Saccharomyces cerevisiae S288C: one gene and its partners. Changing the gene in region 2 together with the main gene of any one other region gives a genetic interaction. Each region holds a gene or a part of one and is shown on either strand. Other genes may lie near its edges. The genes, in order: MAL33, YAL064W, ASN1 and DSF2.

Region 1 (5,065 bases), on a different chromosome or scaffold from region 2:
CAATTGCACCTGTGAGAACAATAGATACGGCAGTTTCAGTTTCAGATAAATCGTCCAAGTGTAGGTTTGGAGAACCCTTCCAGACAATCAACATTGTTAAGATAGAGAAAGTGGCGAATACTAAAACACCAACCAGCAGTAAAGCATTCTTAATCGATCTTTCCAAAGACTTAACTTCAAGGACAGAAAACCTAGAAATTGAAAAAACTATAGCTGCGATCGCGCCTGCCAAAATCGGAGCAATGAACCATGACGCAATAATTTGAGAAACACCACTCCAACCCCAAACGACACCGTTAGCTCCACCGGCTGCAATCCCAGCGCCAATTGTACCACCAACAATGGAATGTGTAGTAGAAACTGGCATTCCGATTGCAGTAGCAAATGTTAACCAACAAGACGAGCCAATCAAAGCACTGGTCATAGTAAGCATTAAAACAGCGGGGTCGTTGGTAAAAATGGAGGAATCTATAATGTTGTTCTTGATAGTACCAGAAACTCTTGCGCCTGCCAAGACAGCACCCAAGAACTCACAGAGACCCGCCAAAACCATGGCTTGCCAGTATTTTAGAGATCTAGAAGAGATCGACGACGCGAATGAGTTCGCCACGTCGTTTGCCCCGATGTTAAAGGCATCCAAAAATGCAAATAACATGGCAATGGCAAAAATATAGTCAAATTGATGTAAAGCCATTTTTGCTTAATCTTTGTTTATATTGATTCGATTAGATACGCTCCAGTATTCTCACCTTTGATCTATGTCACTCATTCTATGACAATTCATGTAAAATAACCTCAATGTAAAGATCATCTTCAGCAGGTTTATATATAATTTTCTTCATATCGAAAACCGGGCTTAGTGACATGAATTGTTTGGAGATGTCCACCCAGTAGACATTGTAAAAAAAATCTGCTATTGACTGAGTTAATCTAATGATTTACATAATAGAAGGATCCAAAGTGGCTGTGACATCTAGTATTGATAGATTAGTATTATTACTATTTGTCTCCCACGTGCTGCATTGTCATATGCAATTTATTAAGATTACATAAACTCCTTTGTACGGTATATTCTTAAAGCCTTTCAATGACTCGGGCCAATTTTTAGCAATATTTCGACATTTAAGGGCCCACTAACAAATTAATGGCACAACGTGGGGATGACGAAAAAGCAGAAAAAGAAAAAAAAGGTCTATCGCACAGCCACACACCCTTGTGGTGAAGCCGTTTTGTGATCGGTGTGGCGCGATCTGTGAAATTTAAACTTTTTTGCGGGTGAAACCGAGATTTCTGAAACTAGATTTTCTGGCTTCGCCAAAGAAAGATGCATCGAATTAATGAAATTAAACGGATGTAAGGAATGAAATTATAACGATTCCGCTAATGTTCTTTACTGACGAGTGTCACTGAAGTACTTACTCGTGAACAAAAATTAACCTATATCAGTAATTTTGATATTGTTAAAAGTAGGTATCTCTATCAAAAGAGATTATAAGACCCATCGGCAAAACTCGAAATATCGTCTTGAGAAAATCATTATACAGTACATGGTGCAATTTTAAATGATTTTTAAATACTATTATATAATCGATACATTTAGTACACGCGAAGACAACGTAGTGTTGAGATTCAAAGAGGTTACAGTTGAATACGTGACAAAGCTGACGAGAGTACTGTGAATTCAACAAACCATAAATGGTCACTCCAAGTAACGGTATTGTGATTTCAACAGAAAACACAAGCATTGTGTTAGCGTGCTCGTAAAATATTATTTCAGCGGTGAAGCAGATATGCGTTAAAGGTGGGCTCGCTATTAAATCATGAACGAAAAAACAGTTATGTCGTTACTGGTGTGAGTCGATATTACGAAACCACTGGCAGGTAGATGGATAGAATGGGACTGATTGGAACAGCGCAAGTTTTTTTCCGTGGTCGGAATTCTCGTAGTAATATTGGAAAATAGTTGGAAGAAAAATTGTGTGAAAAAATACATGCTGAAATAGTCAAACGAAGAGAGGTGAAGAATAGATAAAGCTGTTGAGAGGCAAGACAATGTTTTCAAGATGATCAGAAAAGGATACGGTCCAATATCTATTTATATTCATTGCCCTACCGTGGTATGTTAAAAAAATATGTTACATTTATTGCTCCCATTGGATTTTGCACAGGTGTGAAAGAGCTCAGTTGTCAAGATTTAGTCATTAAGAAGGGCCGCAGCAGCTTTTTGTATAATAGAGCGTCTTTTTTGTTTGTGAAAAAAATTTTATGGTGAGATATTGTTCGATTCTACGAAGTCATTTTACTAGTTTATGGACTCTGATATAAGACAGAGTTGACAAGGAAATGGTGCCGTGATTGTTTCCGTGTACAGCTTTTGAGAACTTCCTTGAAAACCAATCATCTAGCACTTTCATTTCTGGGGAAAAACCTGGAACCAAATCTTGAAAAATAAATTCCCCAGAAGTTTTCCTTATTCCGTGTTCTAATCTTCTCGTTCACTTTGCAGTGACATTCCACGGCCATGCGCAATTTACCCCGCCCCCGGATTTTATTGTCCGTACCGCCATTTTTCAATAGATTAAAAAGGAACAAAAAATCATTTCAGAAGGTTTCTTTCTCGGGAAAACACTAGAGTGTAAATATTGAATATCAAACATCGAACGAGAGCATCTTGAAGATATTTATGTTCTAAATATGACTTTAGTCAAGTATGCATGCGACTATTGTCGTGTCCGTCGAGTAAAGTGTGATGGTAAAAAACCATGTAGTCGCTGTATTGAGCACAATTTCGATTGCACATATCAGCAACCATTAAAAAAAAGAGGCTCAAAGCCTATTGGAACTAGAAGCTTAAAGTATATACCAAAGGCCAAAATGTTTATAGATAATAAAAGTTGTACGGCAGCGGCAGAAATATTAATGAAGGTTCCTAAAAAGGTGATTGATCAGTGTTTGAGGCTTTATCACGACAATCTATATGTTATCTGGCCTTTACTCTCTTATGATGACCTTCACAAGCTTTTGGACGAAGAATACAATGACCATTACGTTTATTGGTTTCTCGTAGCTCTTTCAGCAGCCAATCTTAGCGATCTACAAAGCGAATTAGAATCTGAGGGGGGATTTTCGTTTACTGGAAAACAATTAGCCGTTCTCTGTATGTCCTCACGCCAACAATTTGATGACCTTAGCGGCAGAGACATTTTCCGAATTATGACATATTATTGCTTGCTACGTTGTTTTTCACAGTCTTCTGATGTAAGAAATTCATACAGACTTTGTCGTGAAGCTATTGGCCTTGTTATTGTAGCAGGGTTACATCGTGAAAAAGCATACGAATCACTATCATTTCGTGAGCAACAGCTTTTACGCAAGGTGTATTATTTGCTTCTCTTGACGGAAAGATACTATTCCGTATATGTTCATTGTGTTACAAGTTTGGATACCACAATAGCTCCACCTCAGCCAGAGTTCGTAACGGACCCTCGACTTTCTTTGGATAGCTTTTTTGAGATGATTAGAGTATTTACTGTACCAGGTAAATGCTTTTTTGATGCTTTGGCTACGGAGTCTACTAGCGGTTCTTGCACTGAAGACTCACTGAAAAAAATATGGAAAGAGCTTCACACAGCATCCCTTGAAATAGAACCATGGTCTTATGGCTATGTGGACATTTCATTTTCTCGACATTGGATTAGGGCGCTGGCTTGGAAGCTAGTGTTTCAGATGAATGGTACCAAGTTTTTCTCAAACGCCAATAATGCTCACATATTGGTCGAAATTGCAAAGGATATGCTGGACGACATATTCTTAACTCCAAACAACCTGTATGATGTACATGGTCCTGGAATACCAATGAAATCATTGGAAGTAGCCAATGCATTGGTAGATATCGTAAATAAGTATGATCACAATATGAAGTTGGAGGCTTGGAATATTTTGTGCGATGTATCCAAGTTCGTTTTCTCCCTGAAACATTGCAATCATAAAATGTTTCAAAGGTTTTCAACTAAATGTCAGAGTGCTCTAATCGATTTGCCTATCTCTAGACCACTGCGCCTAAATGATGATTCCAAAGATGAAGACGACATAATTCCTTAATTTATTGTTCACGCCGTTCACTTATACGAGATAGATATACTGATAGAGTGTGAGTGATATTCTTAAGTCTTGCTTTTCGAGGGTGTAAGAAGCTATGTTCTTCAGGCGAGATTATTCTACTCCTGCCTTACTTGTTTGTAATATTTAGTTCTGATGGTCATGATAATTCTATATACAGTTACATTAAGTATATACTTAAGCGGGCAGCTTACTAATATAAATTTTGTGGCATTTTTGTTGGGATATGAGAATCATGTATCGTTGATTTACAAAGCGAATTTACGTTACCAGGAATAGGGAATACTCTCTTGAATTCTAACATAAGCACAGAAATGCTGAAAGAATACGTCAAAAAGTAAATTTACAGAATTAAAAAAAAAATAATTGTTGCCGGAACATGAATAGAGTGTATCAATATACAATATAAAAATTCAAGCATTTTCATTAACGGGAATGAAAAAATTGTATATTAGTACTTCTTTTTGCAAGATATTTAAATCTAGGACCCTCATCACAATGATTCATTTAAATCATTAACGTTTTTTCAGAACAAAATAATAACCTCTAGTTGAAAAAACTTCAAAGCCGCAACAAAACCAAAAAAAAGTCATAATGTCGAGTAAAAATAAACTCGATGTGTTAAGTACTAGTTATATAAAATAAAATTAAATAACGCCGTATCTACCTACTGGCTAAAAAAATCATTTGTTCACAACAGATGAGGTGTTTCGCCCTTCATCTACCACAGAAGTTTCCAAATCTTCCTTCGGATCTTTAACATTAATTTCTGCAGCTGCTGCTTTGGCAGCTGCAAAAGGGTCGACTTTAGTCGACTTGAACTTTCTTGCTGGAACACCAAGTCTAAACAATTCATTTATCTCAATAAAAGTCCTGCCAGCGGTTTCTGGTAAATCGACAACAGCCCAAGCTAAAGTGGCCAGACAAAATCCTCCCCAGAAAAAGC
Region 2 (3,760 bases):
GATGCCAATTTTTTTGCTTTTGTTTTGCCTGTTTTCCTTCTTTTCGCAAAAGTAATTGCAGATTTAATAGCAGGATATTATACCGTTGGTAAAACTTAAGGATTTTATGAACAATAGCTTCAAGTACAGCATTCATAGAACCAACTACTAAGGATGAAACTAGTATGTTTTTGTCAAAATATTTTCTTGACCTTGCTGTAACATCAAGATCTGTTTCTCTAAGATATTAAAGTTGAGTAAAAACAAAGCTGATATGAGAAAAATACGTAATTGCTCCACATAATACGTGGGTCAGACATAAAGGTAGAATACTTGATACAGAAGAGATTATTCGGTACTCTTGATGGCGTGCTTGAACTGGTGCCTCTTAACAACCGGTAATATAGTCAGATGAGTCACTACGAGTGTGTGTAGTAGCAAGTGTTTTACCTACGTGGCAGTAAGAGTAGCTCTATGGTTGTGTAATAGTGGTGCTTATTCCTAATGCTCTGAAGTCTGAAGCGGTACAGTTGGTCTGGTCTATATCATGGTCAAAGGAGCAAACATATCTTCTGAAGTGACCGCAAATAGTACTATGATGTGGTTGGCAATATAACTTAAAAGGAAATAACCACAAGGAATTGCACCCATGTACACAGTTTTTCCCGGAAATTGGGAAACCAGTACGAACATATATCAATTACTTTTACATTATCTTGATTGGAAAACTGGCACAATTGACTGTGACGTTAGTAGTATGTTGTTCTTCTCTACATCAGTTAAATATACGTGTCAACATCAACTAATCAACTTTCCCCCGTTTACCACATTGAAGCTGGGTGTGGAAGATTTATTTGAAGAAACTAAAACGTACCCTGTCATTTCCTGAGTCCCCTTTCAACTTAGTGTGAAAGCCGAACAATTATAATCCTCGGTAGACAACAGATTTATTGTACTAAAGTTACTCTTCCTGTTATCTTCCTTGATTTTACTGTTATAGCAATGACCCACCGCAATCAGGAGAGCCGCCGTATGGAATAGCATACCAAGTCATAAAATCGTCAACCTATTAACGGGGTTCAGGTTCTTTTTCAGCGTAGTAGCCCTTTAACAAGCGCTGACAAAGTTGACACTCAGAGAAAATTCAGGATTTATTGTAATCCAGCTACTCATCCTTAGATCCGCTTGCAGGCATGGTTTTTTTCACCTTGAGAGGCTATTTTGGGTAAGCCAGGAAGGCTGAAAAATCCCAAAAGGACACAGTAATAAGAAATTGTTGTTGTTGTATGATGCATTTAGAACTCAAAAGACGAGTTTCTGAAAATGCTTACAATACTCCATAGGTAACATGATTTTTTTATTAAAAAAGTATACTGTTCCTTTGGGTAAAAATTATGCAACCCTTGAGTGTCCGATGAAGATAAGACTACGAAACAATTTGCGGTAAATTTTTTCTGCTATTGACATTTACACATGCTCCAATCCATTACCCTTTCCATTCTCGTAATAAAACCTCGAACTGTTATTTCATATTTACATCTAGACGGGTATCGGCCTCAACAACTCCAAACAAAAGTAAATAGAAAAGAGCCAGACCTATCGCACCGGGTAGAGCCAGAAAATATTTTAAACTATAGTTGACGTATTCTACGGCTGTTGTTTAGGACAATACTTTTTCCTTCACAGGCTTCGAATTACGCACATGCAGAACTCCTGTAGAAACCACGAAGAAAAGTTTAATTAACTTTCAAATGCCAGAACTAAAGATTGATGAAACAGTTATACGAATTTAAGGGGAACTTGCTTTTTCCTTTTGCTTCATCATAAGCGCAATATTCGCAGCGGTGGCGTCGCGTCTTACCATTTATCGGCACATTTTTCCGAAAAGGAAGGAAAATGGCGGTGTCAAACGGTCTGGTGTGACATCTAGAAGTTCGGCATTGCAAGTTAATCTACGGGAAAAAGAAAATTTTCTTATAACCCTAATGTATAATAAGGTTTTCGGAGAAAGCAACTCACGGGGAACAATTGGTTAGAAGAGACCGTAGAAGCGCCCCACTAACCTGGAGTTGATTATCGAGGATCTTTCTCAGAAAAGCAGCTAATAAATGAGCACAGTACTCAAAAATTACTCATAGTATTATAATTACTTACTTAGTCAATATGGCTGCGCTTTTAAAATGAGTATCTTTTATTTTTTGACAAGGAAGAAAAAGATGCAAGCAAAGAGAAATTTACTAAGTACAAGCTCATTTCCAAAAATTCAGTTTGCCTGTAACAATGGGTAGCGATCTTCAACATATGGGATTATGCCTTGAATGAGATTTTTGAACGTAGAGGAAAAAATCGCAGACAGGCTTTATTGTGCTGTTTGACATAGTATACTCAGCCGTTGTGGTGTTAATGAATACTATCGATGTGTATACAAACGTACTTCAAATAAGCAATGCGAATATACTGCAACTTTTCGGCCTTTGCAACGATTTGTAATGAATCCTTTTGCATCGCTAGAAGGACAAGATAATATTTCTTCTGTTTTTTTTTTACATATGCAACAATTTGAAAGTCAGGTCAAAGACAGATTCCGGTTCCCCATATTCAGATTGGAGAGAAAAACTTTTGGCAACTCATGTTACCAAGTCGAGACGCTTAAAGTTAAGTGTCGGCCAAGACACGCAAAATCTTGTAATCTTTTAACGCTGCTCTTCAAATCACGGACGCAATCAGTACTTGTACCTAATTTTGGTTTTCTAATATTGAATAGCGAACCATAGGTCGAAAATTTAAGGCCACATAAATCCAGAGCCCGCAACTTGGATAGGTATTTACTTGATTTTTAGTTTGCTTTCAATAGTGTCGTGAAATTATAAAGTACGCCGCATATATATCTTGATTAGTTAAAAATAGCAGTGTTCAATGATGATTTGATAGGGTTCATAACTGGTACCAGCGTAGTACAATTACGATTATCCATGAACATAAAAGTGGTTTAAGTACTATATATCAGTGAAGCTTCAAAGTAAGCAAACGAGATACCAAGATCTTGTAGGACCACGATATATAAGAAGCCTAGTTCCGTTGTAGCATCACATAGAAGAGAGCGACAATGCCTCAGAAATTCTACAGCAACAGAAAGCACAGTGAGTCATTAACTGTTGGAATAAGACTCAACTGCGAGCTATCGACTAGTACTTATATTACTAGTATATTATATACGGTGTGAAAAGACGACATGAAGATTGAGGAAATGGTCCCAAGATCTAATGGACACTGAAATGCAAAAGTTGATAATGTAACATGAAAATTAAGGACAGCATATTAAACAGAAGAGGAAATAATGGTATTTTTACATAGAGATATGAATTTCCCTTTTTCTTTGTTCCTATATCTCTGATAATAAGTTATAATATACTTTGTGCATCTTATATCATGCCTTTTCAACAATGAAATATCAGCAGTTATCAAAGCATTCGCCAAATTTTTATTAATAAAACAAATGTCAGAAATATGGCCGGAATCTAATCTGAAAGTTAAAATAATTCTTACGATATTCTTATCATAAAACCAATGATTAATGTTTATGATGAGCAAAACTGTGCGAGGGCACATACATACAGTGGGACCTCATGAGATCCAGAAAAAAAGCAAAGGAAAGTTCGATCGAAACATTAGCTCTTAGATATTACAGACGTGAGGTATCTCTTCCTTGAAGAGAATCTGGCCCTGATCAAAAACTTTATTTTGATACTGTTCGAAAAGAGAAATAAGGACAACGTTCTAA
Region 3 (5,233 bases), on a different chromosome or scaffold from region 2:
CCGATTCATGAACATCGAAGGGATCTACATAGTTTTCTTTCAGAGTTTTCAAGTTCGCCACTTGGTCAGGTGTCTGGAATGGGTTGGAAATGAAGGCTGGGTTGTGCAGCATAATCATACAATTCGGATGTTTCCTGATTAAATTATAGATGAAGGGAATCACGGTGACAATAGCAGAGGGTGGTGATTCTAGGGTGAGTCTGGCTAGCTTTTTGATGAAAGATGCTACTAAATGGGCGGATAAATGTGTTGATGACAAAAATACGTCCATTAACCTGAAAAATCTTGCTCTGTATTTAACATGCATTAAGTCTGGATTTATAATTTGATAAAGTTTCATATAAAAATTTGGATATTCCAAGTTGAATCTTTTCATCAATTCAAAAAGGCCATTCAGAGCCAAGATCGGAACAACACCGGCGTTTTTATTAGAGCTTTGCAAATTGTAGGAATCAGTAAGGAAATCCATTAGTTTAGTTGGAGTGTGGAAATGAGGTATTATTCTCTTATGCAAAATTAACAGAATAGACTTATACTGCTGTAAAGACAATTGGCCGTTTAAAAGGGATAACCAATTTTTCTCGAAATTGGACTTGAATTTGGACTCGTTCTCTATGGCTTGTGGGGGATTTGGTACAAAGATCTCTAAATCTGCATCAACACTAGAGCAATGTTTGTCATGATTTACTAAAGCTAACCATTTACCAACGTTTTTCAAAAGCAAGTCCTGGTAGGCTGGATCCTCTAATAGTTGGTTAAATTCTGATTGAAAGTAGTATTGAATATCTGCAAATTTCGTATAATATTTTTCCGTGAATTCTACTATGATTAAATTTTCAGACGCACCCGAGCTTTTGACATCCTCTATTTCACCCATGTTCGAGGACCATAGGGCGATGATTAACTTTCTGAATGTTTTATTGGGGAAAAATGGTGCGCCCTTTTCAGATGCAAAATGAGTTGATTCCAGCTCTGCAAGTTGAAGATAGACATCAAGCGAATCTAACCCAAGTGATGTTTCGAAAGGTATGTCCGAAATGATAGCTAACAGCTTCGTCTTGAACGCTTCATACACCTTTCTACACCAATTAACAAACTGTTCCTTCTCTAATGTGCTCTTTTTGGACGAAGGAAGGGTCAAGTCGCCGCGGGAAAACAGCTTTCTAAATATCTGGAATAGCGACATAACCAGAAATCTCAAATTTTTTTCTGTCTCATCTTCTTCCAATTGAGTAACATTTTCTGGAATCACTAGTTCATTGATTAACTTGATAATGGAGTTGTACTGCTTTCTGTCACCCGCAGCAGTCAGCCTCTTGGCAATATCTTTAATTTCTGATATAAGCAATACCATATTCTTTGACGTTTCTTTTTAATAGATCTCTCTTCATGGCAATAGAGGATGATAATTACATCTCATCTCATCTCATCAAAACCGTAATACACTTTTTTTTTTCTCAGTTGGAAAATTTTAGTGAAAAATTTCAAGAATAGCCCTAAACCTTCAAATACGAGGATTACCCGTAGAGAAGTGCTGAAAAACTTTTTTCTTTTTCTTTTTTTTCGATTTTCATTTAACAGGTATAAAAAGCGAAACACTCGGTACATATATTTTACCAAGACGCGTTAGATTTTCTTTGGAGGTTTCATTTAAAGAAACCAATGACCTTCCAAGTTTTTAAAAGAATACGATGATATTATTTGCGTTTCAAATCGAACAATTCTTCTCGGAGCGATCTGAGGTTTTAATGGAGATAGCGGTTCCTGCGCAACCCATTGATCTTGTTACATTCTTAAGAATGACAAGGACGCTTTTATAAAATTCTGATTCTTTTTTCTTTCATTCTTTTGTTGTTTTTGACTTGGGAGTAGTCATCTCATCTGTACACAAGTAGCTTTTTATATGTTCTTAAATTGTAGACTAGTCAAAACTTGTGTCCTTTAAACCGTGCCGAAACAGTTTTAAAGCGGACATCCAGGGAAACTTGCCGTTAACAATAAGTGACCTTGCATGGAAGACTGTCGATTGGTCTCTGTGGAAACCAGTGCATATCTAAATTAAATCTATTGTCATCACGAATGCCGCCCGTGTTCGTGCAACGTGAGCGCAAATACGCCTGGGGTCTGTCTTTCTGCGCTGGAAAGCACCTTCGGGCATCAACTACCGTTTCTTATCGCTGGCACTATCTATCCACCAATCACACGGCAGCAGTACTGCTGCCGTGGACGGCAAATTAGGTACAGGGCCTATGACTGTTATCATTTGGCAGGCTCAGACAGAGAGAGAGAGCACAAGGAAAAGAGCCTTAACTCATGTAACATTTGACTCATTCTGTAAACTGAAAATTTGCTGCCCACTCGAGATGACAAATAGTTCGTTCTTGAATTTATGCGCATTTATAGATACGCATATATAACCCTATAGTGAACGCCACTAGGAGACAGATTCTGTTTGGACCCTGATCGCATACTCTTCTTACCTTTACATAATAAAATAAGAAAAAGTATAACTTGCTTTACGCTAAGGATATAAATCGGACGTAACTTAAGATGTGTGGTATTTTCGCCGCTTTCAGGCACGAAGACGTGCATAGATATAAGCCAAAGGCTCTACAACTATCAAAAAGAATCAGACACCGTGGTCCAGATTGGTCCGGTAATGCTATCAAGAACTCCACTATATTTGTTCATGAAAGACTAGCCATTGTCGGTGTGGAATCCGGTGCTCAACCAATTACTTCTTCAGACGGAGAGTACATGCTATGTGTTAACGGTGAAATCTACAACCACATTCAATTAAGAGAAGAATGCGCAGACTACGAGTTTGGAACACTGAGTGACTGTGAGCCTATCATCCCAATGTACTTAAAGCACGATATCGACGCTCCTAAGTACTTGGATGGTATGTTTGCTTGGACTCTTTACGACGCTAAACAAGATCGTATTGTGGCAGCCAGAGACCCAATCGGTATTACGACATTATATATGGGACGCTCTTCCGCTTCTCCAAAGACCGTTTATTTTGCATCCGAACTAAAATGTTTGACTGACGACTGTGACACTATCACTGCATTCCCACCGGGCCACGTATACGATTCTAAGACTGACAAGATCACCCGTTACTTCACACCAGATTGGCTGGACGAAAAACGCATTCCTTCCACCCCAATAGATTACATGGCAATTAGACACTCCTTAGAAAAAGCCGTTAGAAAGAGATTAATGGCCGAAGTCCCATACGGTGTTCTATTGTCGGGTGGTTTGGACTCCTCTTTAATCGCTTCCATTGCTGCCCGTGAAACTGCAAAGGCCACTAACGATGTCGAACCATCAACTTACGATAGTAAGGCAAGACATCTAGCAGGTATCGACGATGACGGTAAGCTACACACTGCTGGTTGGACAAGTCTCCATTCCTTTGCCATCGGTTTACCAAATGCTCCAGATTTGCAAGCCGCAAGAAAGGTTGCCAAATTCATCGGCTCTATTCATCATGAACACACCTTTACATTACAAGAAGGTTTGGATGCTTTGGACGACGTGATCTACCATTTGGAAACTTACGACGTTACCACTATCAGAGCTTCCACTCCAATGTTCTTACTATCCAGAAAGATTAAGGCCCAAGGGGTCAAGATGGTTCTTTCCGGTGAAGGTTCCGATGAAATCTTCGGTGGTTATCTATATTTCGCACAAGCTCCTTCTGCGGCAGAATTTCACACTGAATCCGTGCAACGTGTCAAGAACTTGCATTTGGCAGATTGTTTGAGAGCTAACAAGTCTACGATGGCTTGGGGTCTAGAAGCTCGTGTTCCATTCTTAGACAGAGAATTTTTGCAATTGTGTATGAACATCGATCCAAATGAAAAGATGATTAAACCAAAGGAAGGACGTATTGAAAAGTACATTCTAAGGAAGGCATTCGACACCACAGGAGAACCAGATGCTAAGCCATATTTACCAGAAGAAATTTTATGGAGACAAAAAGAACAATTTTCCGACGGTGTTGGTTACTCCTGGATCGACGGATTAAAAGATACCGCCGAAGCAGTCATTTCAGATGAAATGTTTGCCAGTCCAAAGGCCGAATGGGGTAGTGACATTCCAACCACAAAAGAGGCTTTCTGGTACAGACTAAAATTCGATGCTTTGTTCCCTCAAAAGACCGTGGCTGACACCGTTATGAGATGGATTCCAAAGGCCGACTGGGGTTGTGCTGAAGATCCTTCTGGTAGATATGCCCAAATTCATGAAAAACATATCGAATAAATAACATTAAAAAATAGAAAAAGAATTATGGATTAATCTTATAGATATTTTTATAGAAAAACAAACACTAACAATAATAATAATAATAAATAGAATATAGAAATACATATTTTTCATAATAGTTTGATGAAGTTTTATTCATAAATCATTTTTTATCGCCAGTGCTAAAAAATTAAGTGTGTGGATGACTGTATATATGCGTATCGAACGATCTTGATGCAAATCATTTTGAAACATTATTCTTGACTTTGATATTTCCTATTATACATCCTCCTTCCTTGAGACCCAATAATCTTAAAAATGATGGAGACAGTGCATGCCCTCCTTTTCACCCTTCTTTTATGTCGTTTCTTACAATTTTCGAGATTCTTTTGAATCTGATCTCCTTTTACCTTGTGACTGAAGATTCCTAATCGAATTGCTCCTCTCTAGCGACGCCCTTTGTTTCATTTCGTGTGCAATTAGTAGATCGTGCCTTGTTATTACTGTATTCTTATTTCTTGATTTAATTTCCGCTCGATAGTTTTGCGGATATTGACTATCACTTTTCTTAAATATTAGTTTTATTTTTCTGAAGGCAGTGCTCATATGTAAAGTAGTAACGTTGTTAGTGCAGTGTTAGCAGTCAAACCTAAAAATAAAAGTATAAAAAAACTATATCTATTTTTTTTTTGTTTGTTTACGCACGTTTATATATTTAACACGGTGAAGTAGTCCTGCCATTATGCTGCTCTAACACAAGAGTCGTATATGGATGAGCTAATGACTAAGATCCGAGTAGCGAAGTCATGTATGCAAGCTAACGCAACAAGGCTGTAAAGAATACAAGCCTTGTCACCCTAGTACCAGCATCAAGCAAATTGCTCATTTACGACTGTGCCATGAAGTAGGGATGAATGAGGTGTTTCTGATGACACCTCTGAGGAGCTTTTCTTGAGCTCGTTTCTGTGCCACTTTTTGTTCC
Region 4 (5,747 bases), on a different chromosome or scaffold from region 2:
TAGAATGCGGTCCTAATAGATCGTGCTCTGAATCCTCTACCGATTCAGACTCTAGTGGTTCACAGATCGAAAAAAATGATCCTTTCAGGGTGGATTGGAACGGCCCCAGTGATCCTGAGAACCCACAAAACTGGCCCCTACTGAAAAAATCATTGGTAGTATTCCAAATAATGTTACTTACTTGCGTCACGTACATGGGATCCTCCATTTACACACCTGGCCAGGAATATATTCAAGAAGAGTTCCACGTTGGTCATGTAGTGGCAACATTAAATCTTTCTTTATATGTTCTTGGTTATGGTCTAGGTCCCATCATTTTTTCACCGCTATCAGAAACTGCACGCTATGGCCGTCTAAATCTGTACATGGTGACTTTATTTTTTTTCATGATCTTTCAAGTTGGTTGTGCTACTGTGCATAACATCGGCGGTTTAATCGTCATGCGTTTCATCAGTGGCATACTGTGCAGCCCATCGTTGGCCACTGGTGGCGGTACAGTGGCTGATATCATTTCACCAGAAATGGTTCCTCTCGTTTTAGGTATGTGGTCAGCCGGTGCTGTTGCTGCGCCAGTCTTGGCTCCCTTACTAGGCGCTGCTATGGTCGATGCTAAAAATTGGCGATTCATATTTTGGTTATTAATGTGGTTAAGTGCTGCCACTTTTATCTTGTTGGCATTTTTCTTCCCTGAAACACAACACCATAATATTTTGTACCGCCGTGCTTTGAAATTGAGAAAAGAAACTGGTGATGACAGGTACTATACTGAACAGGATAAACTCGATAGAGAAGTTGATGCAAGAACTTTTTTGATCAATACTTTGTATAGGCCTCTCAAAATGATTATCAAAGAGCCTGCAATTTTGGCTTTTGATCTCTATATCGCTGTTGCTTATGGTTGTTTCTACTTATTCTTTGAAGCATTCCCTATTGTATTTGTAGGTATATACCACTTCAGCTTAGTTGAAGTTGGCTTGGCCTATATGGGGTTTTGCGTAGGGTGCGTACTTGCTTATGGCTTATTCGGTATTTTAAACATGAGGATTATTGTACCACGTTTTAGAAACGGCACATTCACCCCGGAAGCTTTTTTAATCGTGGCAATGTGTGTCTGCTGGTGCCTGCCTCTGTCTTTGTTCTTATTTGGTTGGACTGCTCGAGTGCATTGGATTTTGCCAGTTATCTCGGAAGTTTTTTTTGTTTTAGCTGTCTTTAACATTTTCCAAGCAACTTTTGCATATTTGGCTACATGCTACCCAAAGTATGTTGCATCCGTTTTTGCAGGCAATGGTTTTTGTCGGGCTTCGTTTGCCTGTGCTTTTCCGTTGTTTGGTAGAGCAATGTATGACAATTTAGCTACTAAGAACTATCCTGTGGCATGGGGTTCGTCCTTAGTGGGGTTCCTAACTTTAGGTCTAGCTATTATCCCGTTTATACTTTATAAGTATGGGCCATCATTACGTACAAGATCTTCGTACACAGAGGAGTAGAAAGCCGATGTTCTTACCATGAAAATTTGAATTATAATAACACAATTTTACTTATCGTCCATCTGTCGACAAAGATGTTCCACATAAGTTTACGTAAAGTTTAGCAGTGAAATAAATACTGTTCATAATGAACTTCATTGTTTATAAAAGTTGTTGTTGCAAGTATTCTCATGTTTATTTATCGCAGACTTGAAATCTTTGAAGGAAGATCTAAGGTCTACACACTATCGGTTACTTTGTGACCCTTTGCTTACCATACGGATGAAAAAAGAAAGAGGAATTACTTGAGCCACAATATCCTTCACTCATATTTGAAAATAGTACTTACTAAAGAAATATGCAACCATTTATACACGTAAGAAGTTCAATTATCAAATAGAAATTAAGCAAAATACTCAATTGAATACAGAGCAAAAGGATTAGCCATACGTTCTAGCACATTTTATGGGCCTAAGACATCATTTCCAGTTAACAGATAATATATTTCTACATAAAAACTTGGCTGTTCCACTGTCAAAGCCAAAAAGAGTCATTTGGTCATGAGAGTAGCTATGTTTCTACGACGAATCGAAAAAAAATGCATACTATTGATATCAAAATCATGCAGAAGGAACACATATTCATATATAACTAATCAGAGGATAAATCCTCTTGCGAATAAAAAGTTTGCGATGTTCTGATGCTTCAGGATTTCCTCTTAATAAATTCATATTTGAAGAGCCAAAGAACCAAAAGAATTGTACAAATTTTCTTCATCTATGAGAGGCCTAAAGGTTCGGGTTTGCTGCTATGTATCCTTGCTAAATTTTGATTATATTATGGCATTTATCGCTATTGCGTTTGCTTGCTGTTGCGCAAAAAATAATACAAAATACCTGATAATGTAAACAACGTAAATAATACAGGAAGTGATGCAAGAGAAGCTGCACAAAACTGCAGCATGCCTCACTTCGAAAAAAAAAAAAAAAAGAAGGAAGTCAGAAGAAGCAAGCCGATCTAAGACAGCTATTACCTCTAACAAGTAAGTCATAGATCAGAACGGCAATACCAGCCAGTGTACAATACAGCTGCATTACAACATAGCGTTTCTTGAACTTTTAGGTGACTGCTGGAAAAAATGAACGCGTCTCATATCGTGTGCGATGGCAACACCGGATCCCTGCGCTCAGAACATTCCGTGGACACCCACTGTCACTTCTTCGAGCCCCACCATTCCTTTACGCAGCCTGCGTGTGTTTCTGCGCGTTAAAACAATTATCACAGAAGGCTCCGGACGAAGAGCGGCAGAAAGAACAACGGTGCAACCGTCGTTGAATTTGATTATCAAATCACCTTATCTGCCATCGTGTTCTAGTAGTCTTCCATTGTATTACCACGGACATTCAAAAATAGTTCTTCTTTAGCAACTCTTTTTTTCTGTTGCCATTGCTCTTTGCGATAGCACATTCTGTTCCTCAATGCTAAATATAGGTGGAACTTGTAGGAGCCTCGAGAAAAAACAGAAAATCTAGAAAAACAAACGGACTTTTACGTCACACGAAAAGTAATGAATCAAAATTTAAAAAACACTTCTTGGGCTGATCGAATAGGAAGCGACGATCAAGAAAGAAAAGCTAACTCTTCAGAGGTTTCACAAAGCCCACCACCCAATAATAGCTTCGAGTCATCAATGGATTCACAATTTAGCTATGCTCATTCAAATAAAAGTAGCATTTCATTCGAATCTATTCAAACCACGGAAAGACTTCTTGACAAATTAGACCTCAGCTTGGAAGATGAACTGATTCTGCAAGAAGCTTTATTAGAAGAAGAAAACGCGTCGAGAAATTCGCAACTGTCACAAACAAGTGGTCCAACATTATGTATGCCTGCGTCGGAATTCCCTTCATTAAGGTATAGAACTAATCCCTCTCCAACATATATACAAGCTAGAGATCGTTCTCTTATCATAGACAATTTAAAAGAAAAGGATTCCACTTTGAGAGGCAAATACTCTTCCGGTAAAGTGGAAAGGCATTTGCCCGTGAAGTCGAGATACTCTTATATCGTCGAAGAAGATTATGACTCTGAGACTTTTAGTGGCATGAAACCCCAAATGAATAGAAATGAGAAAGATTATAAGTACCCAAACCTTGAAAATGGCAATAGAAGCACAAATAGCCCTAATCCTTTCAACTTCGAGAAATATAGGATTGAAAATACTAGACTGCACCATCTTTATCCTACGCTGATATCAGACAATAATACTAGCGTTGACAATAATGCTAATAGTAAGAATAACAGAACTACTAGTAATAATATTAATACATCTACAAAAACTGACAGAATATCCGAGAAGCAGAGTTGCCCCAATGAGTTCACAACCACGCAAAAGAGTAATTGTCTTTATCGGAACGGAAGTTCAACAAGCACCAACACCTCCTTTTCTGAAGTTGGACAACTATCAAAGCCGAAAACTCAGTCTTCTTTTGAAAGTGAATCATCCTCATTCTCCAAACTCAAGTTAACTAAGAGTGATACAACACCCATCAAACCATCTCCTAAACGGTCTAATTCCTCTACCTCGACGATAACGAAAACAAATACCATGACAAATGATATTTCATTACCTCCAACGCCACCATATAAAGCTCATAAAAAAAAAACGTCACTAAATTCGCTAAAAAAACTTTTTAAATCTCCTAGGACAAGAGCAAAAAATAAGAAAGACCTTGAGTCTGAAGGATCAAGCCCTATCCGGTCTGCCACCAATTCATTGGACTTCTCTGGGGAGAATATTCAACTTCCATCTACTTCAAGTACCATTAATAATTCCAGTCCACATTTAGCTAGGTATATTTTTCCTCCAAACCCAGTTTTCCATTTTAAAACAGCATCAACACCTCAGTCATCCACGGATAAAAAAAAGAACAGTAAAGCACGTCCAAATAGGACTCATTTGAGAACTTTCTCGGATTTCCATACAACGGAAAAAGATTCAAAAATAGGTGAACTAAGTGCACTAACAGAACAATCAAATAAGCCCTACCACCCGAAAGTTAGAAGAAGAACACTTTCTTTAGATGGTATGTTGCCCAATAATTCGACGCAATGCATGGATTCCTTCAGTCATAAAAAAGAAGGATCGAACGCAACAAGCAAGTGCGGGAAGCTTAAATTTCACCCAGAACCTTATGATAATGATGAATCTTCACACATCGGACAGGCAATTACTATGCGTCATCAAGGCAAACTTGAAGAATCTGCACAACGACTGAAAAAAGCCTGCGCGTGCGGAAACAAAACTGCGTTTCTGTTATATGGACTAGCCCTGCGACATGGCTGCGGAGTGGACAAGAACTTGAAATTATCATTAGGATATTTAATGGCTGCCACTGATATCAAATCCTTTGCTGCTGAGGTTCTTGATTTAGATATAAATCCGTTAAATTTTGCTTCAATGGACGATATCCCTGATATAGCGCCTGAACCAACAGCACCTGCCTTGTACGAATGTGGTATGGCATATTTAAAGGGTCTTGGGATGGATCATCCCGACGAGCGAAAAGGTTTGAAATTTTTGGAAAAAGCTGCTCTATTAGGCCATGTAGACTCAATGTGCTTAAGCGGGACAATTTGGTCCAAAACTTCAAACGTAAAGAAAAGGGATCTCGCCAGAGCTGCTGCATGGTTTAGGATAGCCGATAAAAAAGGTGCAAATCTATTAGGTTCAGATTGGATTTATAAGGAAAAGTACATGAAACAAGGTCCGAAATAAAGATAAAGAAACGTTGTATACATAAAAGCTTACAGAAAGGCTTAAAAGGAAAGGCATTTATTTTCGTACCATATATCTCACAAAAATAGATAGATAGATAGATATGATATTTTATGAATGGTATCACTTATTCCGCTTGTGAAAAACTTCAAAACTCCGTAAATATATGAACTCTTTTCTTTCAAAAAATTTACTTAACTTTCTATATACGAGGAGTAGAGTATTTATACATGCAATAGATATATACAATCATTACAAAGAATCATATTCAATTCTAAGTATCGTCCACGATTACTATTGCTTTAAATGCTGTTTGGCAAATTCCCAATTGTGATGGTCTTCAAAACAGTGTAATCTTCAATACCATATAGCGAACCTTCTCTTCCAAATCCTGACTCTTTAACACCACCAAATGGTATAGAACAATCCGAAAAAACACCTGTATTACATGAAACCATACCAGTTTCCAAAGCTTCAGACACAGTGTATAAAGTGTTGAC

Evidence for each region.
Region 1: mutations in YAL064W (region 2) and MAL33 together harm fitness more than expected from each alone (negative genetic interaction), as found in Saccharomyces cerevisiae (one large-scale study listed by BioGRID).
Region 3: mutations in YAL064W (region 2) and ASN1 together harm fitness more than expected from each alone (negative genetic interaction), as found in Saccharomyces cerevisiae (one large-scale study listed by BioGRID).
Region 4: mutations in YAL064W (region 2) and DSF2 together harm fitness more than expected from each alone (negative genetic interaction), as found in Saccharomyces cerevisiae (one large-scale study listed by BioGRID).

Annotation. Positions count from the first base shown.
Region 1 is NC_001134.8:797,829-802,893, forward strand, and holds MAL33 (transcription factor MAL33), read left to right. Parts: upstream 1-2,694; coding exon 2,695-4,101; downstream 4,102-5,065. Other genes in the region: PHO89 (Pho89p), read right to left, coding at 1-694; TYC1 (Tyc1p), read right to left, coding at 2,295-2,414; MAL31 (maltose permease), read right to left, coding at 4,803-5,065. UniProt on the Saccharomyces cerevisiae protein: Regulates the coordinate transcription of structural MAL3S (maltase) and MAL3T (maltose permease) genes.
Region 2 is NC_001133.9:19,098-22,857, forward strand, and holds YAL064W (uncharacterized protein), read left to right. Parts: upstream 1-2,468; coding exon 2,469-2,753; downstream 2,754-3,760. Other genes in the region: YAL063C-A (uncharacterized protein), read right to left, coding at 3,298-3,588.
Region 3 is NC_001148.4:820,070-825,302, forward strand, and holds ASN1 (asparagine synthase (glutamine-hydrolyzing) 1), read left to right. Parts: upstream 1-2,550; coding exon 2,551-4,269; downstream 4,270-5,233. Other genes in the region: ribosome biosynthesis protein NOC4, read right to left, coding at 1-1,354; YPR145C-A (uncharacterized protein), read right to left, coding at 4,621-4,857.
Region 4 is NC_001134.8:248,306-254,052, reverse strand, and holds DSF2 (Dsf2p), read left to right. Parts: upstream 1-3,036; coding exon 3,037-5,247; downstream 5,248-5,747. Other genes in the region: FLR1 (Flr1p), read left to right, coding at 1-1,490; UGA2 (succinate-semialdehyde dehydrogenase (NAD(P)(+))), read right to left, coding at 5,550-5,747.